Linked DNA regions of Drosophila melanogaster. The protein of the gene in region 1 binds, or shares a complex with, the protein of each later gene. Each region holds a gene or a part of one and is shown on either strand. Other genes may lie near its edges.

Region 1 (16,992 bases):
ACAGTAACACCAATAACAACAACACGAGCGGGAGCGGCGCCAACAACTGTGTGGATGTAACTGCAGCTGTGGCTGCTGCAACAGCCAGCGTGGTGGACGAGAACAACATGTTCCTGTCGGAAGAGAACATCACGTCCAAGGATGAGCCGTGGGCAGCGCTCAACGACAGCCTGGACACCTCCACCGAGCTGGTCGATCAGTCGCAGATGGGCAACACGTACGAACGGGAAACGTTTGTGGTGAACATCAACGATGGATCCTCCATCGCCGTCCTGGACACCAGCCAGTCGATGAAGAACATCGAGCACGTGTACTGCACCATGGTCAAGGCCACCAATGACTTCAAACGCATGCTTAACGACATGAAGCAGTCCTTCGAGCGTCGCATCGAGGTTCTGCAAAAGGAGCGCGATGCAGCGGTCAGCGCGATGCGTGTCCAAGTGCACGCGGACATCGATGATCCAAATATTTCAGGCTCCCTGCACGGCAACGAGATCATTTCGGCTAAGAAGGTATGTTTTGATACTACAGATAGGGCTAATTATCCAATCGATATCTTACTTATCTTTTTAATATTTTCAAATAGTGCGCCAACTGTAACCGCGAAGCATTGGCCGAGTGCTCACTGTGCCGAAAGACGCCGTACTGCTCGGAGTTCTGCCAGCGGAAGGATTGGAATGCTCACCAGGTGGAGTGCACAAGGAATCCACAAACGACAACGCAGCAGGTCATGCTGTTGATCGACGATCAGTCCTAAGCAACGTAACGAAATGTACATACAAATTTTACTACTAATTAATACGATTATAGGAAGTCGACCCCCCCTCCCCCAAGTCGCTAAAGTCCTTGCAGTTCGGTTCAGGTCAAACACCTGTAGTCCACTCCCACTCCCTTCCCCCTCGACCCCTCTCTTCCCCCAAAGTTCCCATTAGAAGGCCTGCATCCTCTTAGACGTATGTCCTACATTAATGTAATTCTTAACGTACATATAACTATATAAATATATATACATTTTACTATTGAACGTAGGGCAAGCCAGCAAAGAAAAAAAAAATAACAAAAAACAAGCGAAACGAAAGTAAAATTAATTAAAAAAAGAGAAAATGTAGCAAGCGAAAATCAAAGCAAGTGCAAAGGCGTAGAGAATTAAGCTACGATATGAAAGTAAAAAGTGAAGAAAAACTAAACCGATTACTTGTAATTCAATTTAAATTAAATTAAATTAATTAATAATAGTTGCAAGCGCATAGCATAACTAACGAGAGACCCCAAGCATCCAGCCACCCCGCTCCCCGCACCCTACCCCATTCAAAAACACACAATCGACAGTGAAAAACAACTAGATAAAACCTAAGCGATTATAAAAAATTTCTGAAATTACCATACATATTCGTCGATGTATACACTTTTCATTAGACTGTAAGCGCATAGTTAAACTTTTAACATTATACCATTATAATTTTATGGATACTACTGCCCGTTACAAGCATCCAATAAAGATTTCAAACAAACAAGCTAAATAAATCCACAGTACGAAGTAAACGCAATCCGAATTCCAATTTCAATTCAAATTTCAATTACAAACATACATACATATGCATATATGCCCGCACAGTAATCGAACCGTAATGTAAACAAACATATAGCTGAAAATGGAAAATTGAAAATGGACAACTTACAGTTTGTTTGTTAGCTGTGTGTAAATGTGTCTCGTAGGGTTTTCCCCGTTCTCCCGTTTGTAAAGTTTTGCCTACGCCCCCCTCAGCTGATGTAACAATTCTTATAGTCTGTAGTCTCCATATGCTAATACATTTATATATGTAGTATATATAATAAACGACTAGCTATATATTCCGATTCACGCACACACGCGCCACGTACACAGCGAGAAACCACGATCGACACACATACACACATTAAATCGCAGATGGAAAACAAGTTACTTTCGATTTTCGAGCCTAACCGCCTGACCAATTCAATTTGAAATCTTTATTTTCATGTCTGTAATGGTTTCGGATGTTGCACTCAATTAAAGCCAAGCCACATTGTTCTGATACAGATACAGAAACTGCAGAACTGCAGAAAATGAAATCAACGCCCTCTCATCAACACACAAAACACAAATCAAAAATCGAACGCGAGTGCAGATAGGGAAATATCGAGAGAAGTGCAGATGAAAAGATCGACAAAATATATACATACATTTAAATGTACAAAGCCTAGCATTTGTGTCGTGTTACTTTTTGGTTTCCTCATGCTTACTTATTTCGAAAATACAATACAATACCATTTAGGTTAAAGATGAAGGTTCGTCGTATCCATACCCATTCACATGTTGTTACACTACGGGAAACTCAAAAGCTTAAGGTTTCTTTGAGATAGGTTTCATGATTCAAGTGGAAATAGGGAGATGATTCCAAGGTTGATGTCCACGGTGTATGATTTCATGAACCACATCCACCTCATAGAATGCTTCAAGGATGCTAGCACTCCTGTAAGTAATGCACTGATTGCCCAGATCGAGTCGAATTCAAGTAAAAAGCATGTATTTGTTAGTTATTATGCACATGTTTCATTTATTATTGCATTTCATGTTGCTGTGTGTGTAGCATTATTATCGAATTATCAGTATGCTTACTATTATTGTATTCTATTACCAAAAATAATTTCTTAAAACTTGTTTACTCGTTTAATTTATTTATAGGTATATTATCAATTATTTTAAGTTTGCATTCTGCAACTGCTCGGCGTTGAGTGTTTGCTATGTAATTGGATTTATACTTGCCAGCGGTAACTCGGTAACTTTTTCAATAATTCACTTTTGCTCAAACTACAATTACTTGGAACTAAAAACTCCAGCGGGAAGTAGAATGTTTTTAAATCTATATTCGTGTCCGTGGGCGCGGGTTGTGGTGGGGTGGGATGGGGCAGGTGTACATAGAACGAAACCGATATTTAAACATACTTTTATTTATTCTGCTGTCTAGATTAGCTTTTGTTGCTATTGGCATTAGTAACTAATTTGTGTGATAGATTTTCGGATTCGGTTTTGTGTGTGGGGTTCACTATGTATTAAGACTTTGTTTCATTACAAGTTGATACAAAACATATACGTACAATTAACGTGCCTAAAAGTTATAACATTTTTAATTTGCTAAATAATAAATTTATGGGTATTTCGCTGCTGCCCAATAAGTAAACAATATATATATATATAAAGAATTGCCGAATGGGTCCCTAATATGGGGAACTGGTTTACAAACACAACGTTTAAACGATTAAGATCGGGATTAGGGATTGAACAAAGCCAATGGAAGGACATTTGAGGATTAGTATAGCGTTTAACCTAGCCCGAGGCGCGGGCGACGCTCTAAGACTTTTTTACATACAATACATCGTTTGTTCGCGTTATCATATTCTTCTCTTGTTTGGAATCACAAATGTTAGCTAGTATTTAAATACACATGTAGGTAAGACATTCAAAAAGGAAAATCGGGGATTTCGTTTAGCGTGGAGAATGCTCTTGGTGGTGATGGTGTTAGAGAGACGACGGCTGTGGTGGTGATAAAATGGGTGGCAAAGTGCGGCAACCTTCAAGCTGCTACTGCTACTGCTCCTGCTCCAGTTCCTGCTCTGCTGGATTCACTCCAAATTTCGCACCTCGAATCGTTTGTACGTGTAGTTGATAAAGACCCAGTCCTTCGCAATCTCACCGCCCTGCGGTATGGGCGCCGATGCTGCAATGGATGCACGTTAGTCTGTGTGCTCGTCCCTTTGCTTAAAAATATACTTACGTATCTCCAGCGACACATCGGGAAACTCGTCGAAGTTGGACGTATCGTCGATTGAGCGCACCTCAACGGGTATGGCCGCGGGACGCTCACGTATGTGCTCCCAGTCAACTCCCCGGAAGAACGGCACGGACTTCAGATCCTCCAGACCGCGCTGGGAACCCAGCCGGCGATCGGCCTCGCAGCAGAAGTTGATGATCGTCTCCTTGGCCTCCTCCGATATGGGGATCTCTGGGGGAAATATCAGCGTCTCGCGCCAGTTCATCACCTTGCGGTAGGTGTCCTGGGGATTGTCCGAGCAGAATGGAGGATAGCCCATCAGCATTTCGTACATGATGACTCCCAGGGACCACCAGTCGCAGGCGGGTCCGTAGCCAGTCTGCAGAAATACTTCGGGTGCAATATAGTCCGGCGTTCCCACGGTGCTGTAGGCGAGGGCGCGTCGATTTCGCTTCCACGACTCGGCACGTCGCTTGGAGTCCATCGGACTGCAGGACAAGCTAGTTTATTTAATAAATACAAGCTTAGATTCTTTCACATCTTACCTGGCGCACGTGCCTATAAAATCGGATGGTTTCGCCTGCGACAAGTCCCGATAAAAGTCTGTTCGATGCGACTTCTTTAAGCCAGTGCACAGTCCGAAGTCGGAGAGCTAAAATAATAATAGAGTTTTTAGTGGGCTCATCTCAATTATCTGGATTCCACTTACCTTCAGATGCCCTCGCGCGTCCAGCAGCAAGTTATCGGGCTTGATATCCCTGTGTATGAAACCGAGTTTGTGAATAGAATCGATCGCCAATGCCGTCTCACTGATATAGAACTGTGTGCCCTCCTCGGATAGCGTGTCCTTCTTCATCAAAAGCGTCATCATATCACCACCAGGCAAGAACTCCATTATCAAATATAAATTGACGGGATCCTGTGGAAAGATATTTCAAAAACATTCTCACATTATTACTGAGTAAGAAAATACTTATATATGAATGCAATTGTATTTACATTCATTGTACAATAATTGTAATATGCAAAAATATCTTATTAAACAAATATTTAACGTCAGAGAAATGGCGATTCAGTGTAGGCTGGTTCGCCTGTGTCAAGAACTTTCACCGAGAAGAAGTTGACAAAAGAGAATCGAGAAAAAAACAACAAAGGCGGCCCACGCAGAGAATGAGAGAGGAAGCGAGAGAGCAAGAGAGACGTGACCATATGATTGGCAAAGGCGCTTTTGGCATTTGCCGTTGTATTGGTTTATTGATTTTTTTGTCCGTGTTTTAACACAATTCTTTTGTTATGTGCGCTGCCGCCCGCTCCTTCACCCCATCACCCTTTCTCCCACCCACCCTATATCATTGTTTTTGTTGTAGCTGGCGCTCGTCACTCACCTGGAAACTGTAGTACATCTTCACCACCCACTGATGATCGGCCTCGACCAGGACATCGCGCTCGGCTCGTACGTGTGCCACCTGCTCCTTTTCCAGCATGTCCGCTTTGCGCAGCACCTTCATGGCGTACACATGTCCCGTGTCCTTTTTCTGCACCAAACGCACTTCACCGAACGCGCCGCGTCCGATGACTTTGAGGGCCTCAAAGTCCTCCACACCGAGGCGCAATCGCTTCAGCCGGAGATACTCCGTCTCCTTCTGGGCATGCTGCAGACGCTTCTCCTGGCGCTGCGCCTCCGACAAGCTCTCGTCCTTCAGCTGAGCCTCCAGCTTTGCGAGGCGCTGCTTTCGCTCGCCATACTGCGTCACCAGGTTGCTGTAGTAGTTCTCCAACGTCACCTTGGCCTTGGTGGCCTTGTCCAGTGTGTGGTCGCTGAATCTGATCGAGGCACCGTCCGCGTCCTGCGTTCTGCTGCTCATCATCTAAGCTGGGGTTTTTGTCCTGGTCACCTCGGTCCTATTTGGGGCTTGTGTGTGTGCTCCCTGCGATGTCGGTGCGTGTGCGTGTGTGTGGTGAGGAGTTATGCACTTGCCAATGCACACACACTGCTTTCTTCGCCCGTTTCTTGCCTTTTTCCTCGGTAATTTGTTGAAATTCCTCCCTCTGCTGCTTCTTCTTCAAGAGCCATTCGCATTTTGCATCCCCAACAAAGCAAAGTTGGCTGCGATCCAGTGGGGCTATCGATAGCTAATCGATTGATTTTAGAACTTTAGTGCTTTTGGCTCGCAGATAGTCATGACAATTAAGCTTTCACCGACAATTGTATAAAATTTATGTACTGAAATTACGTTACTTATTACTTACATTGATTTTTTTAATTAAAATTGATTAAATTTAAATTTATTTAAATTTACTTTAAGGTCATGTTATTATTTACTGTAATTCTATTAAGAAACAAAGCTTAAACAATAGTTAAAATATCTTAGCTTTAACCTTTTAGCTTGAATCTTGCCAAAAGACTCTTACTTCGAAAATTGTCATCACTGCCACCAGTCCAATTAGTAAATAAATAGAACTTACCGACTTGGGATAAATTTTTCCATGTCAGGCGTACATAAACCAGTTGCCTTTGCTAATCTGGCCATTTGGCGCCTGTGACGGTCCCGCGCAATGAGCATAGTCAGCTAATAATGGCCCGCATCACCAGTATTCTGGACTTGGACCCCAGTTCTCTGTTGTTCATCTTCAAGCTTCTAAGCTTGGAGGACCAGTTGCACTTGGCGCGATGCTGTCGCATTTTTAGGGATGCCTTTCTTCGCCTGCATCGCCATGATTTCCAGGATGTTGTTGACAAGGATATGAGTATAAGGACTCTGGAGGATTGGCGCACCTTTCTGTGGCTCTGTGGCAGTCGCATCGGTACACTGGAATCCCACTTTGACGATGATCACCCGCTGCAGCTGCTCCCGATGATCAGCAGACACTGCTACCGACTGAAGTCCATCTCTATATACAATGCAACAGTGGCACGGGCGCAACCGTATTTATTGAGGATGAGCTCCCTGGAAAAGGTGCACGTGCGTAACTACAAGAGCACCAGCAAGGATCTAATAAAAGCCATTGGGATACACCTTCCGCGGGTCAACAGTCTGAGCCTGGAGAGCTTTGAACGCAAGGAGTGTAAGAACTATTTAATGTTCACCTTATCACAACAATATTATTTAATTGCTTCTCCCTTCACAGTACAAGAAGTACGTCAGTTTAGCGAGATGCTGGAACTTGGCTTGTACGACGACGTGACCGCCTCGGAATTCGCAACAATTGTGAAACCCATGAGGAAGCTGCGATGCCTTCAGCTGCGCAACGCCAAACGCTTTCTGACTACCAGCAATCTCAGGATGCTGGCCACCAACTGCCGCCACCTGGAGAAGCTGACGTTCAATGACTGCGACGCCGATCTGTTGGTCCTGCCGCAGTTTGTAAACCTCAAGTACCTGCAATTATACTGCTCGGAGGATATGAAAACGCGCCTGTTCAAGGCACTGGCCAAAAGCCAGTGCTCCATTCAGTTGGAATACCTCATCCTGCACCGCAAACGCTGGATTGACGAGGAGCAGGCGCAGTACATCAGTGCTTTGAAGTGTCTCCGGTGGCTGGTCTGCAAGCCTCGTGACGATCTGTGTGTTCACCACTTGGCGAAGTTGAGTCGATTAGAGTGCCTTTCCATACAGTCCGCTCGTGAGATTGGAGAAACGCAGCTCTCCCTTTTGGTGGCCAACAATGAGCGCCTTCGGTATCTGAACATTTGCTATTGCCTGGGCATCACAGACGCCTTCGTCTTGGACACGCTGGCCAGCTTATCGAAACGCTCAGCTCATCAAACCCTAGAGCTATTTGCCGCGGCCACTGACATTAGGCATGACATCATGGAACGGGTGAGTAATATTTAAAGCACATACATATATTCGAAAGTCCTTATGTTAATGTGACACTTTGTGCTTCGTTTGCAGCTACCGCACGAATTTCCCCTGAAAATGCTCTGTTTGAACTTCGAGTGCAGCGATGGAATGACAAGCGGCGGACACTTTTATGCCGATGAGCCGGAATTCGATCGCCAAGCCTTGTGAGGCCTTATTCGTTTAACAACGAATGTTTCTTCAATCATTACCAAAAATACAACGTAAATTATTTAATATTTATACGCAGCTTTATTCGTGATCTTACCACTTTGAGTGGTATTTCTTTTGTTAGTGCACAACGATGTAACTTTTTCACTGCATAATTAAAAAATTACGTCATATTTAAAGTACTGTATCAGGTTGATTGGGGATGTGTGGCTGAACATGATAAGATTACATTTGTAATATTTACAACCATTTAACACTTAGCTTAAATTCGATTGCATCCGCTAGATTGTTCGCGGGATGTTATCGAACTATCGATGGCTCATCGCATTTTTTCGCCCCACCACTGATATTTTGATTTGTTGTTGGGTTGGCGAACAGAGGAAATCGGGAATTCGCTAAGAAAATCTGTTTATAAAACGCAACTAGAGGGCCGCGAAGATGCTGTCCATGCTGCAGGAGAAGCGTCCGCTGAAGCGCACCCGTCTGGGTCCGCCGGACATCTATCCGCAGGACGCGAAGCAGCGAGAGGACGAGCTGACGCCCACGAATGTGAAGCACGGATTCACGACGACGCCACCGCTGTCCGATGAATTCGGTACGGCCCACAACTCGAATGTGAACGCCAGCAAAGTGAGCGCATTCTTTAGCGGCGTCCTGGCCAAGAAGGAGGAGCTGATGACCCTGCCGGACACGGGGCGCAAGAAGCAGCAGATCAACTGCAAGGACAACTTCTGGCCCGTTTCGCCGCGTCGCAAGTGTACGGTGGACGCCTGGTTTAAGGACCTCGCCGGTAACAAACCCCTACTTAGCCTAGCCAAACGGGCTCCATCGTTCAACAAGAAGGAGGAGATCTTCATTACTCTGTGCGAGAACCAGGTGAACATGCAACGCGCCACCTGGTTCATCAAGCTGAGCGCCGCCTATACGCTTAGCTTCACCGAGTCTAAGAACAAAAAGCGATCCATTTACGACCCGGCTGCCGAGTGGACCGGCAACATGATCAAGTTCATGAAAGAGCTGCTTCCCAAGCTCCAAGAGTATTATCAGCAGAGTGAGTACAGTCCTTAAGTTCTATAATCTATCAACTCCCTTATTCAACTTCTTGATTTTAGACCACGACAAGTCCTCTTCGAATGGCACCACTTCCGGAAGCCTGACCGCCGCCGGTAATGGTCCTGCCAGCAATGGCTCCACTGGCACCAGCTCTATTAACTCCGTCACCGGTAGCAGTGCTTCCACGAACGTAATCCCGGTACCCAGCATGGCCAGTCCACTGCCACCGATTCATAGCCCAGCTAATGGCCAACAGGCAGCTCCTGGCGGAGGAGTGAATGCCGGCAGTGTCATGCCGACGACGGGAAGCCTTGGCGGAGTAGTCGGTGGGCCGGGGTCTTCTGTGGTAGGAGGCGCAGCGGGTGCAGGAGCTGCAGTTCCACCAGGCTCTACAATTTCTGGAATTGGAAGCCAGTTCGAAGATAGTCGCAATGCGCTTAAGTATTGGAAATACTGCCACCAATTGAGCAAGTACATGTACGAGGAATCACTTTTGGACCGACAGGAATTTCTAAACTGGATCCTCGACCTTTTGGACAAGATGCGTACGCAGGCAAGCTTCGACGAACCGTTGAAGAAATTGGTGCTCAGCTTTGCCCTTCAGTACATGCACGACTTCGTCCAGTCGGAGCGTCTTTGCAGAAAGATGGCCTACATAGTGTCCAAAAAACTGGCCCAGTTGCTGAACACTGTCGTAGAACAGCAGACCATCAAAGAGTTGGACGAGCCGAAGTTGCAACAAGATCCCTATGAGCTGGCGCTTCAGGAACAAATGAGTTGTCCCCATCATCGGGATATAGTGCTGTATTTAAGCACGATCCTACAGATCATCACAATCGAGTGCCCCACAGCTCTGGTCTGGAGTGGGATAGCAGCTCACCGAGCACCCTCCTCGTTGTTGGGTAGTCCGCTGGACCATTTGCCTTTGGCGCCCTCAGTCTTGCCGATGCCCACACGCTGTCCGCGAACCAATCACGAGATTCGACGTCAATTGCGGGCCGCCGAGTCGGACATCGTATTGCGCACTCAGCATGCAGAGCAGCGCTGGTTTGCAGCCAAGTGGCTGAGTGCCGGCAAGAATCAATACACCAGTGTGCTGGCTACACTGGACCACTTGGACACGCACTGCTTCGATCGCATGGAACACAATAATAGTATCGATACCCTATACGCACAAATATTTCCCAGCCCAACTGTCAGTCGCAGGCGGGAGGAGGATCAGGTGGAACCTCGTCCGCCTTATGAACCCAAACAAGACAAGGACACGGTACGCATTCTGTGCGAGTGGGCTGTGTCGGGGCAGCGTTGGGGAGAACACAGAGCCATGGTGGTGGCCATTCTACTTGACAAGCGCCAGATCGACGTGACAAGCACGCCGGCGGATCAACAATCCAGTGATAAGGATGACAAGGACTCGCTAGCTTCGGGCGCCGGCTTAATTGATGGCCTGCCTGTGTTTCAGCACGTGTTAATGCACTTCCTTGACCACGATGCTCCCGTCCTCGATGAGCACGTGAGCAGTCCACAGCAGCGCACGGAATTTACCAACCTTGTTCAGCTGTTCAGTGCATTGATTCGCCACGATGTCTTTTCGCACAACGCGTACATGCACACTCTAATTTCACGAGGAGATCTGCTCCTGGAGTCGGTGCTGGTGATCAAATCAGGAACAACGGCCACGAAAACATCGCCGCCACCTCCAGCTCCACCACCAACGACGACGCACGGTTTCGATGATGACGGATTCGGCGGGGGCCTGGACTTCAAACACAACGAATTTGATGATTCCAATGTGGACGACGATTTGGACAAACTGGTGCAAAATATTAAGGAGAAAGGACAACAGCACGAAGCTCCAGACAGTCCCAAGATTGGTCCTCCAGGCGATGGAGAAACCAATCCTGGCGGTAGCATATCGCGGCATTACGTGTACACCAAGCACTTCCCCATCCCCCAGGATGATCCCAGCATGAGCAGCTACAGCAGTGAAAGCAACCAGCGATACATCCTGCTCTTCGGAGTCGGCAAAGAGAGGGACGAGAAGAAGCATGCTGTCAAGAAGATGTCTAAGGAAATTGGAAAGCTTTTCACAAAAAAGTTTAGCATAGATGTGGCGGCGGCCGGTCATGTGAAGAAGCACTCGCGCAACGAGTTTAACTTCGAAGCTACCACGTCCAAGTGCCAGCAGATGGCTTATTTCGACCAGCATGTGGTCACAGCCCAATGTGCGGCCAATGTCCTGGAGCAGCTGAACGGATTCGCGTTAGGGAACAACAACTACCTGCCGGTACAGGAGCACGTGGCGTTCCTCTTTGATCTGATGGAGCTGGCTCTTAATATCTACAGTCTTTTGGAACTGTGCGATAGTCTGTTGAAGGAGTTGCCTGAGGTGGAGCACCAGTTGCAGCTAAAGAAGTCAAACCTAGTGCGCAGTTACACCACTTCACTTGCCCTCTACATCGTCAGCATCCTGCGGCGCTACCACAGCTGCCTTCTTCTTTCACCGGAGCAGACGCTGTCTGTTTTTGAGGGAGTCTGTCGTACCATTCGGCACGTATCGAATCCGAGTGAGTGCACTTCGGCGGAGCGCTGCATTATTGCCTACCTGAGCGACCTACACGAGTCGTGTGTTTTGCTCCAGGGAAAGGAACAATCCACGGAGTACTACCAGCAGCTGCAGTGCATCAAGCGGTTCAAGGACATATTCAACACTCCAGAGCAGCTTGAGTGAGTTTAGATCGCAAGTTCTTCCCCAATAATATAATATATAATATTAACAAATATTACCATTTTTTATTTAGCCTACCACCTCAGGGTTACAACCCACTGTTGTTGCAGGAGCTTTTCATGGCCCCTCGACGCGGTGGTAAACTGGATCCTCACTGGCTGGGAACCCTGCACGAGTCGCCGGCCAATGTATACAGTTTCGTGTCTAACGCATTAATAGCCGTCTGCCGAGAGACGGACAACGAGCGGCTGAACGATGTGGCCCTCGCATGTGCCGAACTGACCGCCAGCTGCAACGTCTTGTCTGAGGAGTGGATATACGCACTGCAGAGTCTGTGCAGCGGCAGTAAGAGTCCGCGTTATCCGCACCTGGGCGGACAGGTCGACATTGGACAACTTAAGACTCACAACGCCCTGGCCGTGTTCGTATGCATTCTGGTGGCCAGACATTGCTTCTCACTAGCCGACTTTGTAAGTAAGTTCGCCCTGCCTACATTGGCCCGATCGGTAAGCGCTGGTGGAGCCGAACTGAGTGTAGATGCAGAGGCAGGTGCTCGTCTTACATGTCACTTGGTGCTGAAGCTGTTTAAGACCTTGGAGATTCCTCAACCTGGCATGTACTCGGTAAGCACTTCCCCGAATCCACTGCACGCTGTGGGAAACGACTTTAGCATTCGGCTGAGCTGCGATCGTCATCTTCTGGTGGGTGCCCATAAGACCATTCCCATTGCCGCAGTGCTTGCCGTGCTCAAGGCCATTCTCATTGTTGTGGACAATGCGGCGCTTAAAACACCATTGGCTTCCGGCAGCGGCACCTCCTCTGGCGGATTGGGCGGAGCTTTTGGAAGCGGCAAGCGTAGTGGCTTCAATACACCGGTCCATCCGGGAAGCACACCCAAGAGCAACGAACAACGACCGGCCGATCTCAGCCAGATCCTGGGCACCAGCGATTTACAATTGGGCAGCAGTTTGACAAGCGAACCCGAAGCCCTGCAACAGCCATCGGTCGGAGGAATGGAGCAGATCTCGCTGTTGGAGTTCGCCCAGGCGGTGCTCAAGCAGATCTGCGCCCAGGAACACGTTCTGGAAAGATGCCTAAAGAACGCAGAGCAACTCTGCGACATGATAATCGACGAAATGCTGACCGCGAAACAGGCACAGCGGGTTCTGCACATGATCTGCTATCCGGAGCCTGAGTTTAACATCATCTCCGAACTGGATCAGCGCTCAATGATCGTACGCATACTAGAGAATCTCGGACAGTGGACACTGCGTATCTCGTGGCTGGATCTTCAGCTTATGTACCGCCAATCGCTGAGCAACAACGCGGAGCTTAATGTTTGGCTCGACACAGTGGCACGCGCGGCAATCGACGTCTTCCACATGGAGGAAGTTGTCCTGCCGGGTGCCGTGAAGGCGACCCACAAACCCAAACCGTCCACCTGGCTAGTGGCTCCACTCATCGCTAAACTAACACCAGCGGTGCAGGGCAGGATACTTCGAGTGGCTGGTCAGGTTCTTGAGAGCATGAACTATTTCTCCAAGGTGTCCAAGTCCGATTGCAATAGCTCGGGCAGTGGTGACGAGCGCGAGAAGAGCAACAGTTGTCACAGTAGCAATAGCTATGGACTGGGCGGCGTGCCCGCACGCAACAAGAAGATGCCGCTTGATTATCAGCCTTTCCTGGGTCTCATCCTAACTTGCCTGAAAGGCCAGGACGAGTACAAGGAAAACTTACTGGTTTCGCTCTATGCCCAGTTATCACAATGTCTGCAATCCTTTGCTGAGGTGAGTGTTTACTTTCTATCCTTAAAGTTAAACTTACTAGTAACATGACTCCTTTTAGCTGGACACAATCGGTGGCATTGATGAGCCGCAGGCGCGCGAGGAGATCCTCGATGCGCTGCAGTTGCGCTTTTCGCTGGTGGGCGGCATGTTCGAGGCTATCCAAAAGAACAGTACCCCCACCACAGACTGGGCTATTCTTCTGGCCCAATTGGTTTGCCAGGGCGTGGTAGATCTCAGCTGCAATCGTGAGCTGTTCACCACCGTTGTGGACATGTTGGCCACATTGGTGCACTCAACGCTGGTCTCTGATGACGAGAGGCACTACATGAACCTGATGAAGAAGCTAAAGAAGGAAATCGGAGAGAAGAACAACGCCTCCATTCGGGTTATTCGGCAGCTTCTTCCACTTTACAAGCAGCCTACTGAGGTGAGTAGATGACCCAAAACTGAACGAGCTTGGAAACTGAGTGGTATTTCTCCCTTTAGGTGATTGCGTGCGAACACTCTGGAATGGACACCAAGGGCAACAAGATCTGCGATATAGACAAAAAACAACTACGCATTTCGGACAAACAGCGTATCAGCGTGTGGGACATCCTTGAGGGTCACAAGAACCCGGCTCCTTTGTCCTGGGTGTGGTTTGGTGCAGTCAAGCTGGAGCGCAAGCCCCTTACTTACGAGGAGGCTCACCGCAACCTGAAGTATCACACGCACAGTCTGGTCAAGCCCAGTAGTTATTACTATGAACCGTTGCCACTGCCACCTGAAGACATTGAGCCTGTTCCCGAGAAGATTTGCATAGTAAGTCCATTTTGTATTTCCTTTTGCATTTCCCTTTGCCCCTTTCTAAATGCATTGTTTCTATTTCGTAGAAGGATGAAATGAAGGCGGACACGCCCTCGTCGGTGGATCAGTCGCCAAGCGCTGTGGTTGGCGGCACGGGAAGAGGTCGCGGCAAGGGAACGACCACGCGGAAACGCAAGCCGAAGAACCCGAAAACGCCACCGGTGGTCAATACTCAGCAACAGCAGCCTCAGCTGGCACAGCAGCCTCAACAGCCGCAGAATGTGCAGCAACAGCAGTTGCAACAGCAGCAGCAACAACAGCAGCACATGCAGCAGCAGCACATGCAACAGCAGCAGATGCAGCCCAACCAAATGGGCCAGATGCCAATGAACATGCCGGTAATAAAATTGTTTTCGTTAATAGTTAAATTCTTAGATTTGGTTTATGAAGGAATCGAAGCAAGCCTCTTAAAGCAACATGATGGCAGAAAAATTCGAAAGTTGTAAACTTGTAATCCAGATTTTCTTAACCTTTTTCGGTGCTAAACCATTCTTCTGTTACCTTCGAGTTTAAATTATAACTCATATAAATTTTTTCCACAGATGAACATGCAGCAGTTTGCACCCAATCCGAACAACATGATGCAGCAGAATGCCATGTTACAACAGCAGCAGCAGCAGCAGATGCAGCAAATGGGCAACAACCCGATGCAGCAGCAGCTGAATGTGGGCGGTGGGAACGGGCAGCCAAATCCCCAGATGAACTTCATGCAGCAGGGACCAGGGGGCGGTGGAGCCGGACCGCAGGGTATGCCTGGCCAGCAGCAACAGTGGCACAATGCGCCGCAGCAGCAGCAGCCGCCACAACCGTACCACAACCAATACGCTCCGCATCAGCAGAACATGCAGTGTAAGTCGAGTGTTTGATATTATATACGGTTAAAGATTGTAATCCGTGTCACTTACCATTGCAGCAAATCGCATCGAGCGCCCGCCGTTGAATGCCAACTCCAAGCAGGCGCTATCACAGATGCTACGACAACGACAACCATTCCAGCAGCAAGCGCAACAGGGTCCGGGGGGTGGTTTCAATCCGATGCAGCAACAACCACAGGCTTCGCAACAACAGCCCGGTCCTCAGCAGCAGATGAACCCCAACCAAATGCGCCAGCAGCAAATGAATCCCCAGCAAAATCCTCAGTCTGTCGCTGCATTCAACGCCATGCAGCAGCAGCCGCAGCAGAACGCCCAGCAGCAACAGATGAATCCCAACCAGCAGCAACAGCAGCAGTTCATGCGCGGCGGCAACATGCGACCCGGCATGGCGCCCAACCAGATGAATCAGATGAACATGGGAGGTCAAGGCATGTCGCAGAATCCGATGATGCAGCAACAAATCCCACAGAATATGGTGGGCATGGTCAACCCGAATGCCAACCAAATGATGCAGAGCGGTGGAGCTCAGGGAGGCAACGGTGTGGGCGTTGGTGTTGGCGTCGGCGTTGGCGGTGCCGGCAACAATCCCAACATGGGCATGGGAGGCATGCCTCAGCAAGGCATGATACAACAGCAGCCGCAGCAACAGCCGCAGCAGCAGGTGCAGTTCCAGAACTTCCAGAATCAGTACCAGCAGCAGCAACAGCAGGGCATGCAGCAACAGGGCGGTGGAGCAGGCGTTGGAGTGGGCGTCGGCATGGCGCCCAATCAGCAGCAACAGCAGCAGGCCAACATGATGGGCAACTTCAATCCGCAGATGCAGCAGGGGAATCGCAACAATCCCGACTTTATGGCCGCCGCAGCGGTTGCCCAGCAGCAGCAACAACAACAACAGCAACAGCGCGTTGTTCCCGGAGGAATGATGGCCGGCAACCGGAACCAGTACATGAACCAGGCGCCCAACGTAACCATGTCCACCATGATGGGTCCGGGGCCGGGTGGCGTCGTCGGCCAGGTGCCTCCGTACGCCCGTCAGCAGTCGGCGGGAGGAGGCAAACCCGGCGTCCTCAACACCCAGCAGCAGTTCCAGCAGCAGCAACAGCAACAACAGCAGCTGAGGCACCAAATGATGCAGTTGCAGGGTATGGGTGGTGGGGCAGGCGGCGGCATGGGAGCCGGGCCTCAGCAGGGGGGTGGCGCCGTTGGCGGTGGCGCCGGAGGCGGAATGGTGCCGCAGCAGCAGAGCATGAACCAGCAACAAACGCCGAATCTGGTGGCTCAGCTCCAGCGGCAGAACATGATGGGCCAGCAGCAGTATCAACCACCACCGTACTAGATCGAAGACACTTCTTAATCGTAAGCCTAGTCCTAATCCTTTATTTATCAGATGAATTTGCAATAAACGTACATTCAGAACGAACTTTGTTTTTCATACAAATTTGATTTGGGATATTACAAAAATATTAAATATTTAGCAGCTACATTTTAATAAAGTTTCAACTTTTTTTGTCTATTTTTTCATCCATTGGAACATAAGTTATGTTTCAATGGGTTACTAAAAAGCGGTTATAAAAAAGTAGTATTGACTTTAATTTAATTTGCAATTGGAATTTTTCTTACAACTATGCGATAGTTTAGTTAAAATATTAATTAAATTAATAAATTTGTTTTTACATTAGCAATGTAGTGGGCTATCGTTTAACCATCGTACACTTGGGCCACCTCTAATCAGCTGAGCGCCGATGGCTGCGTTGGTGTGCGTGGGTGTTTGTGTGCATGTGAATTAGTAATAATACAGTTCTCGTATCCCAAATTTAAACGTTTGCTTGCGATATAACTAGACTTTAAGCTATTTAGTGCAATAGTCCAGCTGCTGCGAGTGCTACACCTATTTGGAAA
Region 2 (15,972 bases), on another chromosome or scaffold:
TAAACCCTCAACCAGTACATGGAGGAGCGGATTCTGTTGTAGTCGGGCAGGTTCTCAACGGGACCCACGGCAGCGACGGCTGGGCACCGATCGTAGATGTACTTCATTGCGACGTCGCGCACATTGCCCACACTCACGGCATCGATGCGCTGCTCCAGCTCGTGCAGCGGGATGCGGCGGTTGTAGCACAGGATCTGGCGGCCAATGTCCTCGCAGATGGGTGTGGTGCCGTCGAGCTGCAGCAGCATGTTGGTCTTCAGAAGGTTCTTGGCGCGCTCGACCTCAGCCTCGGTAACCATGGTGCACAGACGCATCCACTCGGTCTGCACGTTGAAGAGCATATCCTGGGGAAGAGGTTTGTTTACGTAAAATTTGCTTTCTCTCGAGAGTTTTCTGTTGAATCATTAATTCTTCTTACCTCGCACTGCAGAGGGTCGCACACGAAGTAAATGCCCCAGAGTCCGGTGTCCTTGTAGCATGTGTTGAACGATTGGAAGCTGTGGCAAAGGTCTGTAGGGCAATAATAGTTAATAATCTCCATATCCTGGTCGTCTTACTGATGTACACTTACTGTCCTCAGCGCTGGCACGGGCCAGGTTGGAGGCGTTGTTGGCGCCACCGCCTTGGGAACGATCCCAAGCACCCACCAAGGTGTTGGCCACCATCAGGGGGATGTTGTCCTGGTCGGTCCAGCCGCAGCCTTCGACGGCGATGGCGACATGGGCCAGGGGCAGGGAATCGTCGCGCACACGCACCTCGGAGCCGGTGAAGCGGCAGGGAGTCACCTCCGCGGGCAGCACACTGGCCTCCAGGCCACCCAAGCTGCTGCAGGCAAGCTTGACCAGATCATCGTGCTTGACGCCGCCAGCAGCGGCCAGAACGATGCGCGAAGCCTTGTAGTGGGTCTGGATGTAGTCGGTCAGATCGGCCTTGCCAATGGACCTAAATAAATGAAGATTTTAATTAGAGACAGAGCATTTGTTATAAGAGCTGAATATACGTACTGAATGTTCTTGGTGGGTCCCAGGATGGTCTGGCCCAGAGGAGTGCCCTGATAGGCGGTGGCGTGAAGGTGATCGAAGACCACCTCCTGCAGGTTGCTCTCCACCTCCTGCATCTCGCGCAGAATCACCGAACGCTCGCGGGCGATCTCAGCCTCACCCAGCTTGGAGTTCTGGATGATGTCGGCCAGGATCTCGACGGCTTTGGGCACATCCTTGGACAAACACTTGGCGTAGAAGACGGTCTGCTCCCTGGAAGTGTAGGCGTTCAAGTGGGCGCCCAGGTTCTCAACCTCCAGCTCCAAATCCGTTTGCGAGCGCTTGGCGGTACCCTAAAAAGTGGCAGAAACGCATATTATACGCATTTAAAGCATCAAGCTAGTGAGCCAACCTTGAAGGCCATGTGCTCCAGGAAGTGGGCCACTCCGTTGTTCTTCTCGTTCTCGGAGCGCGACCCAGCATCGATCCACAGTCCCACGGTGGCGGTAGAGGCACCGGAATCCTCGCTAGCCACGCGGAGACCGTTGTCCAGCTTGGTCACCTGGGTGGCGGGTATGTTCAGCAGAGTCTTCTGTAGGGTGGCAGCCGACTTGTATCGCTGTAAGTTCGGGAAAATTGGGAAAACTATAGCCCAGAGTTAAGTAAAACACGAACATAACCTCAAAGTGCTTGTAGTGGGTTTTCCAAACAGTTTTCCCAAATATTTGTTTGAAAAACTGGATGGCTCTTGAATAACTGACCAACAAGAGGTTGTTTATCCCTTTTCTCACAAGAATAAACCACAATTGCAACCAAAAACACAATCATTTACAATTACGTAATTTAAATCCTCGGAAGCGTAATCATTGGATGGCTGTCTGGACTTACTTTGATCATGTCAACGCCCCGCATGAAGGAGCGCATATTCTGCGTCACGCCAAGAACTCGCAACGCCATCGTTTTATTAATTCGTTCAATAGCCTATTACTAAAAAATATTTAAGACTTTTTCGTCTGTGGCCGCGGCGCTGATGAAAAATTCACACACACACACCAATGTACTGCGCTGCGCAAAGTTGGCTGCGGCCAGTCAGCTGTTCGTGGAAAATAGCCCTGGTGTGCACACACTGGCTGAAACGGCAACACAATTTTTTCGTTTTTCCTGGTTTTCCGGCTTGCTATTGAAATAAACACCTAATTTGGATAGCTAACACGAAAATATTGGCCGACCTAATCAGCTAGGCCTACTAGTTACGAAATGGCGGGCAATTTTTGGCAGAGTTCGCACTCGCAGCAGTGGATTTTGGACAAACCCGATCTGCTCCGGGAGCGTCAGCACGATTTGTTGGCCCTTAACGAGGATGAATACCAAAAGGTGTTTATTTTCTTCGCAAATGTGATCCAGGTGCTCGGCGAGCAGCTAAAGCTGAGGCAACAGGTCATCGCCACGGCGACGGTTTACTTCAAGAGATTCTATGCGAGGAACTCCCTGAAGAACATCGATCCTCTGCTGCTGGCGCCCACTTGCATCTTGCTGGCCTCGAAGGTGGAGGAGTTCGGTGTCATTTCCAATTCACGACTGATCTCGATCTGCCAGTCGGCCATTAAGACAAAGTTCAGCTATGCGTACGCTCAGGAGTTTCCCTACCGCACCAATCACATCCTGGAGTGCGAGTTTTACCTGCTGGAGAACCTGGATTGCTGCTTGATTGTCTACCAGCCGTACAGACCGCTGCTGCAGCTGGTTCAGGACATGGGCCAGGAGGACCAGTTGCTCACCCTGAGCTGGCGTATCGTAAACGATTCCCTGCGCACCGATGTCTGCCTGCTCTATCCTCCTTACCAGGTTTGTGATCCTGATAATTTCTACAGCTTCCTCACATTTGAAGAACCTATTTTTTTCTAGATCGCTATAGCCTGCCTTCAAATCGCCTGCGTCATCCTGCAAAAGGACGCCACGAAGCAGTGGTTCGCAGAATTGAATGTTGATTTAGACAAGGTCCAGGAGATCGTGCGCGCCATTGTAAATCTGTACGAGTTGTGGAAGGACTGGAAGGAAAAGGACGAGATTCAGATGCTGCTGTCCAAGATTCCGAAACCGAAACCACCGCCTCAGCGTTAGAAGAGCTTCATAATCATTCATCATTAGCTGGTATTGCCCAATTGTGTGTTTGTACTCATATTACCAATGTATTTATGCCAATTAAACGAAAGTTTAAGCTAGGTGACTAAGCAATCAAAAATGTCATTTACAAATTATTTTGCCTTTATAATAATTATTTCTAAATTAAATTACATAATTGCTTAAGATTAACATGCGGTACGGATCGTCTGGATTTTTTATGGTTCATTTAACCTACAGATACTTAGCTTGACCCCTGGAGAACTTGGTGTTCAATATCTTGGCCTTGTCTACAATCTGCTTGGTCTGATTCTTGTCGATCTTGTTAAGTTTCAAGTCCACATCCCTACTAAAAGGTCTTCGTTCTGGCTTGGAACCCGATGCAGCCAGTTCTTTTTCCTTAAATTTATAACAATATTATATCCATATTATGTTTTTAAGAAATATTTTTCCTCGTACCTTTTCTCTCTGCTCTTTCCTAAGCTTTTTTTGATGTAGCTCCACTAGGGACTCCTCTCGCTTGTGCTTCTTTTTGTGCCTCTTGGCCATGCTCTCCTGCTCGTCATCCCGCTGCTGTTCGTACTTGACCTGTGCCATTTGCTCGAGTTCCTTCGAACTGAGCGACTTTGGGCCCGATGCAGCAGCATCCGCTTCACTCTGCGGGGTCTTCGTCCAGGATGATCGATCGCTAAAGTCGGGTCGCTCTTTTCCCTGATAGAAAGTGCGCTTCATATTGCTCAGGGCGGCAAGGCCGCTCTTCAGTCCCACATCTGGCAGCTCAAGCATCCACTCTTCGCGGACATCTTGGTCTGTAGATGTACCCAATCCCCCGCCCTCCAGAGCTGCCAGTTTAAGTGCCAAAGCACGTTCCTCCAGAGCCACTTGACTGGCATTTGGCAGAGGACCAAAGGTGCCAGCTAGGTCATCATCGTCCTCAGCTTCCGCTTCCTTAGTAGGAGACTTTTCCCGGGTCAAATTGCTGGGCAGGACGGGTCCTATCATGGCCTGCGGTTGTGGGGCTGGTTGGCTTTGCTCAGGGAGTTCCGGCTGCTGGGTCTTCCTTAAATGCGGCGGTAAAGCGGGACCAAAGGAATCTTCGTTGTTTGTAGCCACATCTGGCGGAGATGCATTAATTAAATGTGGAGGTTGCGTGTAAGGCACAGGTGGCTCCTCCTCATGCTTGCTGCGTTTCTTCTCCTTGTGGCGACGCTTTTCTTTCTTGTGCTTTTTCGACTTCTTCTTTTTGGACTTGTCCACATCTTTGCTGTGCTTCTTAAGCTTCCGTTTCCTTTGCCTTTCATCGCTGGACGAATTGCTATCACTACTATTGTCGTCGCTGGACATGATCTGCAAATACAATTAATGAAATAATAAGTAAACCAAGATATTCCTGAGGTTATAAAGAGGTCCATTGGATGTGAAAAGAGAGAATCCCCAAGAAAACTCAGGTCTTTGGATTGGGCTAAACATTATATTGCAGTTAACAACTTTAAAGCTTAAAAGTATTTAACAAAATGCAGCTGGATGGGACAACTTAGTCGGTAGAATGATTGGCAGCCAGGGGATTAACCCGAAAAATAAACCTAAACAGCGAATGTCTTTTGAGCCTTGCGATAGCTATACGCCAATGACTTGAGAATGCCAGCACTGGGAATATTTTTGATCGATTGCGTGACACTGCTGCGCCACACAATGTCGTTGACGGATGCCTGCAGCACCTCCGGAAGCTGGGAGGCCATGGATAGGTGATTCACCACCTGGGTGTAGTCGCCACGACAGGCGGCATTTCGCTGCAATCGCTTCTGAAGCTCTCGGGGCAACTGTCGCAGGTGTTGGCATGTAGCCGATGAGGATTTGTCCTGCTCGAAGATTATGGCTGGTTTCCGGCTCCCTGGTTCCTGGCCCTTCATGTTTACCGCCACATAGTCGGAAAGTTGTCCCAGGGAGGGTTGGTATAGGGCGAAGAAGTCATTGATTTGCGGACTAACTATGTTGTGCACTTTCTGTTTGTTTTCCCCGAAAATCATACGGAAATCGCCCTTGTAACTCAGTCCGGCGATGGTGTGGAAAAGTCCGTAGGCAGTGAACTTCTCTGGTAAAAGTAGCAGAGCCACTTGCAGCGCGGATACAAGATTCCTCTCCAGCGCAGCCTTGAGGGGAGGATTATCAGAAGGATTGACCAGATTCGTCACTGGTTTGTGCAGCCTTCCTGCCAAGTAAAGATGCCGCCAGTCAAGCAGATCCTCCAGCAGCTCCTCCTGCGACACCACGCCGTACTTTATGGTAATGCCCACATCTGGCAGAGGCACCAACGTGTTGCAATAGACACCCGCACCCAAACGCTCCTGATACTTGGCCACAAAGTTCGGTCCCAGGTGCCTAAGGGCGGAATAGTGGTCCGGATGACGGTGCAGGTTCTCCGCATGGAAGCCCCTAGCATCACGAACGCAAAAGACCAGATCCACAACGGTTCCCGGCGGAGGACGCAGGTTGTTTCCATTGCCGACTTTTCCATAGCCTTCCTGCTGTTTGACGCCGGATCCGTAGGCGAACATATAGCTGACACTGCCCAGAGGAAACCGCGCCACCGTGCGTCTGTATAGGTCCAGCATCTTGTGCGTGTTTTACCTCCTAATTGGACTAAACTTAGGCTTTATAATTACTTTTTTTTTAGCACGTAACTCCACTTCTTCTGGATGGAGTTGATGCTTCTCGGTCAAGCTCCTCGCTTTTCGCCGGCGCCGGAGGGGTGTACACACTGGCAATCAGCTGGCTGAAAATTTTGTTCAGGGTTTCACTTGAACAATTTAGCGCCCTCTTGAAAAAATAAAAGAAAAGACCAAATATTTAACAAAGAAAATATTTATTCAGTTTAATTTATATTGAAAGGAATATATATTTAGTTCAATATAATAATAACATTTTGCTTTTAAAAAGAATTTGTAAAGTATTGTTCATCAAAGCAGGTTCTGTTTACGGTTTAACATAACGAAATATCACCATTCCAAATTTGGCTAACATTTGTAAAATACACCTTCATATCGATTTAATTCGATTGCGGTCAGCACCGTTTTAGTGCTATATAGTGATCAAATTTCGCCGCCGGTAGTGTTGACAAACTCCAAATTCAAGCTGTTGTTATTCTCAAAAAAGAAGAAGAGAAAACACGCACATTTTCCACAATCTGTAAAACGACAAAAAATTTGTACGAAAATAACACAAGACATTCGACAAGGAAACACTATACAGACATGCCGCGAACCCCGAAAAGAGTTCACCAGGAGGCCAAAGAGGAATCGGCCCAAGCAGACCAGCCGCCAAAGAAATCCGCTTCAGAAGATGTTGAGGCATTCACAAACGTGGGTAGCAATTCAGCCAGCGTACATAAGTATATTTCAATCCAATCCCTACGTGTTCTGCTCTGACATTCCAGAAAGGGTTCAAGAATGCAATCGCCGCCACAAAAGCCGCTAATGCTTTCCCACAAGGAACAGCCCGCGCCCTTTACCTAAGCTATCCAGGCTACGCACGTGTTATGGAAGACCTGACCCAACGGGTGGTGGCGCTCATCGGGAACGTGCTGCACTCCAAGGACATCAAGGGCGACATCAAAAAGTAAGCTTCTAACCATGACATTATTCGAAATGTTGAAAATACAGCACAGCCATTGAAATCAAAGTTGGTACCTGTATCTGTAAATAACAATAGATCTTTATTCTTTAAACAGACGCCAACCGGAAGAGCAGTTTGAGATGGTGCAGGAGTGCAACGACGTACTGTTCGAGCGCATTACGACTAATCTAGACATTAAAGGTGGTCTGCGAAGAAATACACAACAGGTCGTAGAGGCCCAGGTGGACGTGATGAGCAGCTCCACATCCATAGAGCCCGCAGTAGCTTCCCCACAAACCCAAGGGACTCCAAAGGCAGGCAGCTGGAACAGAACGACAGGAACACCCCAACGCAGCATGGTTTCGGCTCGTCTCTTCACCGCCAAGAACATCGTTCGGCCGCAGACGCAATTTAGGGAGCCGGTGGATAACAGTGCCCAGAATCCGTTTGTTCCAAGACTCAAGGAGAAACCTAATTCTCTTAAACCGCTGGCCCTGCTGCCCGAATACGATGATGCCGGCAATGTCCAATCCTATTTGCATCCCTACGAGTTTGAGCTGCTTAAGTTTCAGCCTCCGGAGGAGCAGTTCCAAAAACAAAAGCCAGTGCTTCCAGCTCTGATGGCAGAAACCGAACTAATGGTGGTTGACACGGTGGAAAAACTGAAGCAGGCATTGGAGGAACTGAGACAAGCGCCCCAGATCGCCATAGATGTGGAGCACCACTCGTATCGCACCTTCATGGGCATCACTTGCCTGGTCCAGATGTCTACTCGCAGCAAAGACTATATTTTTGATACCCTGATCCTACGCGATGATATGCATATACTAAATTTGGTACTCACCGATCCCAAGAAGCTGAAGATACTGCACGGCGCCGATTTGGATATTGAGTGGCTTCAGCGGGACTTATCGTTGTATATCGTCAACATGTTCGACACGCATCGGGCTGCCAAAGCCTTGAATATGGCAAGGTTATCGTTGGCATATTTGCTTAAGCACTATCTGGACTTGGATGTGGACAAGAGCCTGCAACTGGCCGATTGGCGGATGAGACCGCTTCCCCAGCAGCTGGTGGACTACGCTCGTCAGGATACCCACTTTTTGATATACGTTTACGGACGGATGACAAACGATCTGCTGCAGCAGCATGCCGAACCAGGTCTGCTGGGCAGTGTCTATCAACAGAGCACGGATGTCTGCAAGAAGCGTTATAATAAGCCTCACATCGGACCAGAATCCCATTTGGATTTAGTAAGAAAAACGAAGCGCTCTTTCGACAACCGGCAACTGTACGCACTTCGCGGAATCTTCGAGTGGCGCGATGCGACGGCGCGGTCAGAGGACGAGAGTTACGGCTATGTGCTGCCCAATCACATGATGCTGCAAATCGCTGAGAGTCTTCCAAGGGAGATGCAGGGAATCCTCGCCTGCTGCAATCCCATTCCGCCGCTGGTGCGCCAACAGCTGCACACGCTTCACCAGATTGTCCTCAAGGCGCGCGATCAGCCGCTGGTCAAAGTGAGTTTCTTGGCGGTTTCAAGCAGCGCTTGCAACTCGATCAACGTTGGCGCCTATACCGATAATTTTTCATTACCAATTAACTGTAACTAACATTGAAATGAAGAACATGTTCTGAATTCACCTTATAGTTCAATTCATTTCACAACCGCAGGTCAACTAAAATAGGTTTAATGTTACCAAGTGTTGGGGTGGTATATCTAATGTTTAATGTTCTTGACTTTACTTACGATTTTAGCCGATCCTGGAAGCCCACAGTAGTACACAGGCAGCGTTGCCTCCGTCGACCAAAGACTTTAGCAGCAAGCTCTACTGTCCGCACGATTTTTCGCAACTGGAGGAGATTCGCGACGACCTGCCAACGCTGTTGAAACGTAATTCAACTACAGGAAAACTGGAGGTGCCCAATAAGGAGGAGGTTGCCAAAGTAGATCCAACCTTAGCGGCACCAGCCATGGCTCTGTTCGAAAAGCAGTCCAAGCCGACACAAGAAGAGGAACAGCGCTGGGCCCATCTTCGCAAGGAGAGCCAGACAATGCGTATGCCCTACAAACGCTATCTCGCCATCCTACCTCTGATGGTGCAGCTGAAGGCCGATCAGTTGGCCAGGGAGCGAAGTGAGTTGCAAAAGAGGCAATTGTGTCCAGCAGCCCCAACTGTGGAGCAAAACATTAAGCTGGAGGCACACGCCATCGGAAAGGAGGATGATGACATGTACTCCGTCCCGCTGAAGGAACAACTGAAGCGCAAGCACCCACAAGCGAACGTGAAAACAGATCCGGAACAGCAGCCGACTGCTAGCAAGCGACCTCGCAAGGACGAGAATTCACAAACCAAACCGCCGGTAAAGATCGAACCAGTCGAAAAAGTTCAGCAGGCTTTAGGCGAAAGCGATGATGAGGTCGTTGAGGTTCCTATCGAAAGGCAAGCCACAGAGCCACCGAAACCATCACCGGCACAGAACAACCGCAAGCAAAAGAAAAATCAGTTCCAGCGCGGATTCAAGGCCAAGAATCGAGGAAACCACCCGCAGAGCTCCAGTCAGCAGGTTCCGCAGCACAAGGGTACAGGCAACTTTGACTACAAGAACGTGGACTTCCGGCAATTCAAGGGAGGAGCGCAAAGAGCCCGGGGCACAGAAATCAAGCAGCAAATTCGCGGCAAGGTGAGTGCTATGAAAAGTATTAACAAGCTGGCTTAGCTTTTACTGAAACGATCTCTTCACTAAACATTTATAACGCTTGTTTTTTTTTTTAGAACCGTCCCAACAATCGGAACAACAAGCAGTTCAACAAGCTTTTTACATTTAGTAATGTAAGAAAAGAGGGCAAAAAATGAACTGCAATCGTGACGAAGTCTGTAAAATATACATAACTGGTATATATGTGAATTCAATAGTAAGAATGCGAGCAACACGAAAACTGATTGATGAAACTGATGAAGAAATAAACAAGTGTTTATTTTTGATTGTTTATAAATTCTTTTCAAGTTACAAAACTATTTTTTCTGAGCTTTGCAATTTTCTAAAATATTACCTATTAAATAACAACCGTAACTATTCATTAAACTAGACTATCGGATATGTTGTTATGGATCGGTTTGTAGTTCAATATTTAAGAACAGTTTTAAGAGATGGTCATTGAAAAAATATGGGAAAACCAAATAATAATTGGGACGTGGGAAATGTCATGGTAATAGGTTTAAATTTCAAACTTATTTCGTCACAACGAATTTTGTATGATTTAATTCCTAATTGGATGGCATCTCAATTTTTCGAAAACTTTTCTAGCATTCAAACCAATACAAGAAAGGACAAAAGAACTTAATTTAAAATAGGAAAAAACCTGTTTCGGGCATTTAAATATTTGGAAGAAATACAGAAGTAAAACATGGACTAAAATAATACGATAATTTCTCTATCTAACTTTAGCTTAAGTAGGATGTGGAAAGTGAGTTCCTAAAGCTCTAGTGCTGGCCATTAGCCCCAATCTTGAGCTGAAACTACAGAGTTTTGAACATTTTGTCGCCCTCGATGTCCATGCAGTGCTCCACAACAGCATAGACCACCAGAAGTCGTCGCTCCACTCCTTTTTTATGCTTATCCGTAATCAGGGGATAGAGAGCATCCTGCTTGGATAGTCGATCGATGATTTCCGTGAGTACGCCGCCGGAAAAGACTTGCAGGCGATCCCACGTGGACTTTCGCAGACTGTAAGGTATAAACGTAAATAGTTATAGGTATTTGGAAATTGGTCGAAGACTTACAGGCAGCATTGGTAGAGTGGCGCCAATATGTCCAAGTGATCCTTGTTCGGGTTTCCGAAGGCTTTTCCATTGTCTATAAGCACCACGCGCTCTTCCCGCGTCTCGTAGTGATGCCGATCTCCATTTTGGATTAGGTAGTCGAAAATAGACGCATCTATAAGGTCCAGCAGGCGGATGGTCTCCATTTTATTTTTCAACGATCTGAAAAATAATATTTTTGATTTAGAAGTTTATAGAGTGAAGTTGAAGTGTGGAACTCACTTGCAATAGGTCATATCGTCCTCCCAGGGCGCCCGCTTGTCATCCTTGTAGGTGCGTTGCCACGGTGATCGCCGCTTAGCCAACGTACCCGGAACAATATATATGAGCACACCTTCAATGTTGTGCCGCTCATCGCCACAAACAGTCTCCTCCTCGTTGCAGTAGTGACACTTCCCGAACAGGCAGTACTTCTCCCTGCCATCCTCGTCCGTTTCGATGTTTATGGTTTGCTGGAGTTCCGGATCGCCTTTGGCATATATCTCCTTCTTCAGGTTCACCACTCGACCCACCACTATGGGCGTCCATCGAAAGTCGAGCACGGCGCCCAGATAGAAGGCATATACTTCCGCCGTGTGGCGATCCTTGCCACTGTATATCATGCCATCGATGACCTCTTCCCGCGGATACCATTGCGGCTTAAAGATCACCTTCTGCTGGTGGGAAAGGCGGACGAGGAGCTTCAGTTGCGTGCCCCGACCCAGGTTGCTCACCCGGGTGATAGGTTCGCGGCGCAGTGTTTCTAAAAGCTGTCCCATCGATGAGTCGTATAAGGGATAGACCTCGTTTTCGTGCGGCCACTGAAAGTCACCGAATGCTTAGTGAATATACTTAGATGCATATTATAATATAGAATGTTTTCCCCTATTAAAAATTCATTTCCTTATTTTGTTTGCATAAGCAGCCAAACATAAATCACGAGCATAGCAATTCTGGCAGACCCACTAAGATCCATCGACTTACCCAGTTCGCAATGTCCCAGAGGACACTGGCGTTCTCGTACGGCGCCGCCTTGTAGTTCTTAAGCAGCTTGTTGCGGAACATGAAGAAGCGGGGATTGCGATTGAGGTAGTTGGGTTTTAGGTGGCGCATCTTGTGCCGTATCATGTTCTCCAGCGCCCGGACGCTGGCCAGATGACCCTCCTCGGCGCTGAGGTAGTACATAAAGTAGAAGTTGGCACCGAGCGCCAAGCCCAACAGGCTGGCCACGATTCCCGCGATGATGACGCTGCGCTTGTTCATCCTGCAGCCTGGGCGGGCGTTAGCCTATTTTTAATATTACGTATACGCAGCGATAGCCGCACTGGCAATTTGCACAATTCTAGCCGAAATGTTGATATGGCCGGGCTGGCACAGTGGCATGCTGCTGCTGTTGTTGCTGCTGTCGCTGCTGTTCCTCTGGCAATTGTTGCAGTTGTTGGTGTTGCACTTGCAATACTTGCTGCACTTCTTGCAATTGTTGCTGCTGCTCTGGCGATTGTTGTTCTTGCTGCGGCTGCCCTTCCTTTTGCTGTACCTATTTTTTTTTTTGGCAGACATCGGCTAACAACTGTTCGCATCAGTCCATTGTTGTGCAAATTAATTGTGGCCGCCTCTGAAAACGTGTAAGCATTAATTAAATTGTCAGCAGTAGAGAAAACGAGTCCTGTTCCGGGTTCTAGTCTATTTTGCTCACCCACCGCAACAAGTTAATCAGATCCGGTTGTTAACACACCTATGTACTGTTGACCCCACTCGAATTCTTGGCAATTCGTGTATCTTAGTATTTCCGTGTGATTCATTCAATTTAGATAATAACCGCGCCGATCAGTTGATAACTTCTAAATGATGGCATAAATCATGATGGTTTGATAATGTCGTTCTCCTAAGTGGTTATCCCATTGATCCTTCTATGCATTCAGATGGCATCCGATTGCAAGCAATCATCTAGAAGATGTGCAAGATACGAGATATGTGTGAAGTGTTCCTGGCACAAATAGCTTTCTATCTGACTTAACCGTTTGTTTACAAGCGTGCAGTTGCCCCATTGGGATTCTTGGCCACAATTGCCCAATAAATCGTGGTCTTCCTCTTCTGCTGCTGCTTTAATTGGTCGCCGTCTTATTTTTGGCCAACATCCACATGAACGAAGACCGCACTGCACGCATTCGGATTCGGAAGACAAAGAATTCTGTTGTCGCACTTAGGTTGCCTCTCCGATTTGGCAGATCGTGTATAAATAGCTTTTGTTTATGTCGGTGAAAATGGGAAAAACGTGCGTTTTTCACCGGCGCAGGAAAATGACAACAAAAGGGAAATCGTGATGTAAACAAAAAGCAGCTGACTTCAGCTGTTGCAGCCCTCGTTGGCCTGCGTGAAACGATCTGGCAACGTCATGCATAACCGCCAAATTCAATTTACATTATATATTCGTGTGATTTCGCCTTATTTTTGGGCTAATCCTCTCAGGTGGCTAAAAGTTAATCAAAAAACTAAGCCAACCCACAAAAGGAACGCAGGCTAAAGGTCAAATGCTCACACACGTTTGAGTTATTATAAAAACCCACACAATTCCAAATTGCACAGATGAGCCCAAGCGTGTACACTGCAAGAAATATTCGATCACGAAAAACTAACAAGTTTAGTATATTTGTTATTAAGAAATGAAATATATAATGCTGAACAGTAAGGAAATTAACTGTTGGCATCGATTTAATGAAATTGATTGGGCAAGACGAAGACTTTATTAGTTTCTTATAAATTATAATCTTTTCAACAATTTTCAAGAGTGCAGAGGTATGTGAAGTTAGCTTAGTTATTTTGTTCCATCGATGGGATAGCCTGGGAGTTTACCTTGCCTGCGGCCTCCCATTGGAGCAGAGCGCATAAACTGCGCCCACTTCTCAGCCCGAATGAAAGGGAAAAAGGAGGCCGAAAGGAGTGAAAGCAGGGAAAGCTGGAAAAGCTGGCAATGGGGAAAATCGAGGAGAGTTATCCCAGGCCACATATGGCGCAAAATAAACCGACAAATGATAACGGCACTCGAGCAAACAACAATAAAGGATGAAAAGCACGAAAATCGAGTAAATGAAAGAAATAATGGTGTCGGGAGTGTACAGCCAGTAACAAAACGCACGAACGTGTAAGGGGGGTTCCTTATCCACCAAACCCCAAGCCCCCCTCCCCACCACTTTTCTGCACACTTTGGGCCCCCGAAAATTCAAATGCCGACAGCATCCGCCGCCACATTTGTTGCTGGCCTGGGAAATCCAAAGGCAGTTGGCGGCCAGAACGCAACACCCTCGACACATAACGACTACAGTTAAATTTAGCCAGCAGTCGCATCACTCGCAGAAATAAAGCTATTGAGTTTTCTAAATTATGTAACAAGCGAATTCAGACGATTTGATTTGAAAAAATTTCCTGAAATGGTTTCGTTTTCCAATGATTTCGGATATTAAATGATATTAAGCAAATACTTATGGAACAATCTATATTGATAACCCTCTTGCCGAAACTACTAACTTCTCATTTGTTTTTAAGCATTGACCAGGAGATTTTTTTCAGTGCATGTAGTGAGTACGCAAGTGCCAGAAAATGATCTGCTTGCTTGTCTTCATTGTTTTGTGGGTTTGCTCGTTGGTTTGTTTGTTTGTTTGCCAGTTCGCGTGGGTTGTGTAATACATATTGAAATAAGCCAATTTCTGAATCTGGTGAGCGGCAAAATGCATAAGTTGCAAAGAAAATGCCAATTCAAGAATTTTTAATCCACTTTCATATTCAAATATCCATTTGATCAATATTAGTGCTATAATATTACGATTTGTAGCAGAAATGTGTATAGTTGATAAGAACTAAACCTATTAATATCGGCTCATTTCTAATTAATATCAATTAGGAATCCCCACTCACAGCCAAATGAAAACGAACAAATAAACAAAACTAGACAATTCAATTAGGGCGAAAATTGTGAAAAGCCAATGGAAGTACACAGTTCTTCGTAATTGGGTCAGATGTCGCTAACGAGTATGACAATTACACAGAATGTTTCCCAAAGCTGACGGCGAACGCCAAGGAATCAATTTCGGCCAAAAGAAGGGGGTTTTCCCCTTGACGTGTGTGCGCGTAATGAGCTTTCAAAATATTTAGCTGAAATTGGAAATTTATTTGGACATACATAAGTACAAGGATATTGGACAGAATCCTTGGGAGTGAATAAATATTTGAGTGTGTAATAAATTTTTCCAGTAAGGAAAGAGTGTATGCATATGAAAGTATCCCTGAGAATCGTTAAAATACCGCGAAATCTGTGCAAACATAATTTAAATTTGTATCTGCACTTATACCTTCCTACTTTGTTAACCCGAAGCGAACACAAGAGGCTGTTAAAAAAAAAAGAAAATCAATTAATTCACATACCAGCACAGATGGGAAAGTTACACACCGCGTCGTGTTAATTGCCCATGTGCCCCAATTCATGTTTTTTTATCACAGCTCTTTTTGTTTGTCTCCGCTGGATGGCGCTTTCCTTAATGGCTGTCGCTCTTATCTGGCCCCTCATGCGTTTTGTAATTAATTGGCAGACATTTTACTGCCGTGCAACGTTGTCATAGGTCGTTCAGCACGTGCTGGCCGAAGGCGGCGCGGGTGGTGGTTTGTGGATGGTGTTTCCTAATGATTAATTACAATTTAATTTGTTTGGCATTTTGCAGCGCTTTAACGGCGACGTTGGACGATGACAAAATGTCCTTTGGGCTCCCGAAGGATTCATTTAAATTTCAACAATTGCTTGCCGCCAAATAAATTTGTCTCTGCGCTCAATTTATTATGTTTGCTGCAAGTTTAATTGAATTTGTTGGCACAATACAACGGGGATCCATCTAATTAATTGTTTTTTGTTTTTCTTCTGTGTTTTGATTCGCATTTATCTTCAATTCGTGCCCTTCTTTGTTTTGCGATTTTGCTGCTTTGCTTTGCTGCCAGAAATATGCAAATTTTGGCTAATAAGTCGCCCTATGAATTATGGGAACACAGAAAGTAATCTCTTTAATTCGAAATTTCTTTTGGCACTTGAAATACATTGATAAGTCATGGTTTCAAGCAAAATCTGTAAAGATTTTCCGTGACAAGTATGTCAGGATATTTTTTACGACTCTTTTCAGCCCTCCGTTTGTGCAAGAAAAGGACGTGAAAAATGGGTAACAATTTTGGGGGCCCAACGTGAAATTAACTCATTCGTTGTGGCCTAGAATAACAAAAGACACTCGCACACACACTGGCACATCCTTTCAGACACACACACTCACACAGTCGTAAATAGACGCTCCTAAGGTCAAGCAACGTCATTTTTCAGACGGCCAAACAAAAAAAAAATTGATCAAGGAAGAAAAAAGGGAGAATAACTCGGCTTCAAGTGCCGCCACATGGAGAATTTAATGTGTCATAGTGTTGGGTAC

The links.
Region 2: kto (region 1) and CycC share a complex: the UniProt entries of both Drosophila melanogaster proteins name them as parts of the cdk8 module of the Mediator complex.

Annotation. Positions count from the first base shown.
Region 1 is NT_037436.4:19,828,434-19,845,425, forward strand, and holds kto (kohtalo), read left to right. Parts: upstream 1-8,180; 5' UTR 8,181-8,242; coding exon 8,243-8,855; intron 8,856-8,916; coding exon 8,917-11,584; intron 11,585-11,658; coding exon 11,659-13,372; intron 13,373-13,430; coding exon 13,431-13,799; intron 13,800-13,858; coding exon 13,859-14,173; intron 14,174-14,244; coding exon 14,245-14,556; intron 14,557-14,660; exon of another isoform or gene 14,661-14,696; intron 14,697-14,760; coding exon 14,761-15,067; intron 15,068-15,131; coding exon 15,132-16,429; 3' UTR 16,430-16,511; downstream 16,512-16,992. Other genes in the region: Deaf1 (deformed epidermal autoregulatory factor-1), read left to right, coding at 1-512, 587-757; trc (tricornered), read right to left, coding at 3,643-3,737, 3,795-4,291, 4,337-4,443, 4,501-4,710, 5,177-5,659; CG32221 (uncharacterized protein), read left to right, coding at 6,368-6,857, 6,921-7,612, 7,688-7,804. UniProt on the Drosophila melanogaster protein: Component of the Mediator complex, a coactivator involved in regulated gene transcription of nearly all RNA polymerase II-dependent genes.
Region 2 is NT_033777.3:14,876,323-14,892,294, reverse strand, and holds CycC (cyclin C), read left to right. Parts: upstream 1-2,089; 5' UTR 2,090-2,237; coding exon 2,238-2,825; intron 2,826-2,885; coding exon 2,886-3,101; 3' UTR 3,102-3,291; downstream 3,292-15,972. Other genes in the region: UQCR-C1 (Ubiquinol-cytochrome c reductase core protein 1), read right to left, coding at 1-344, 419-510, 572-942, 1,005-1,333, 1,393-1,599, 1,869-1,937; CG33332 (uncharacterized protein), read right to left, coding at 3,336-3,500, 3,561-4,445; CG33331 (uncharacterized protein), read right to left, coding at 4,685-5,713; Rrp6, read left to right, coding at 6,353-6,460, 6,535-6,716, 6,829-8,233, 8,472-9,398, 9,491-9,571; CG3631 (uncharacterized protein), read right to left, coding at 10,235-10,442, 10,499-10,699, 10,760-11,337, 11,501-11,779. UniProt on the Drosophila melanogaster protein: Component of the Mediator complex, a coactivator involved in regulated gene transcription of nearly all RNA polymerase II-dependent genes.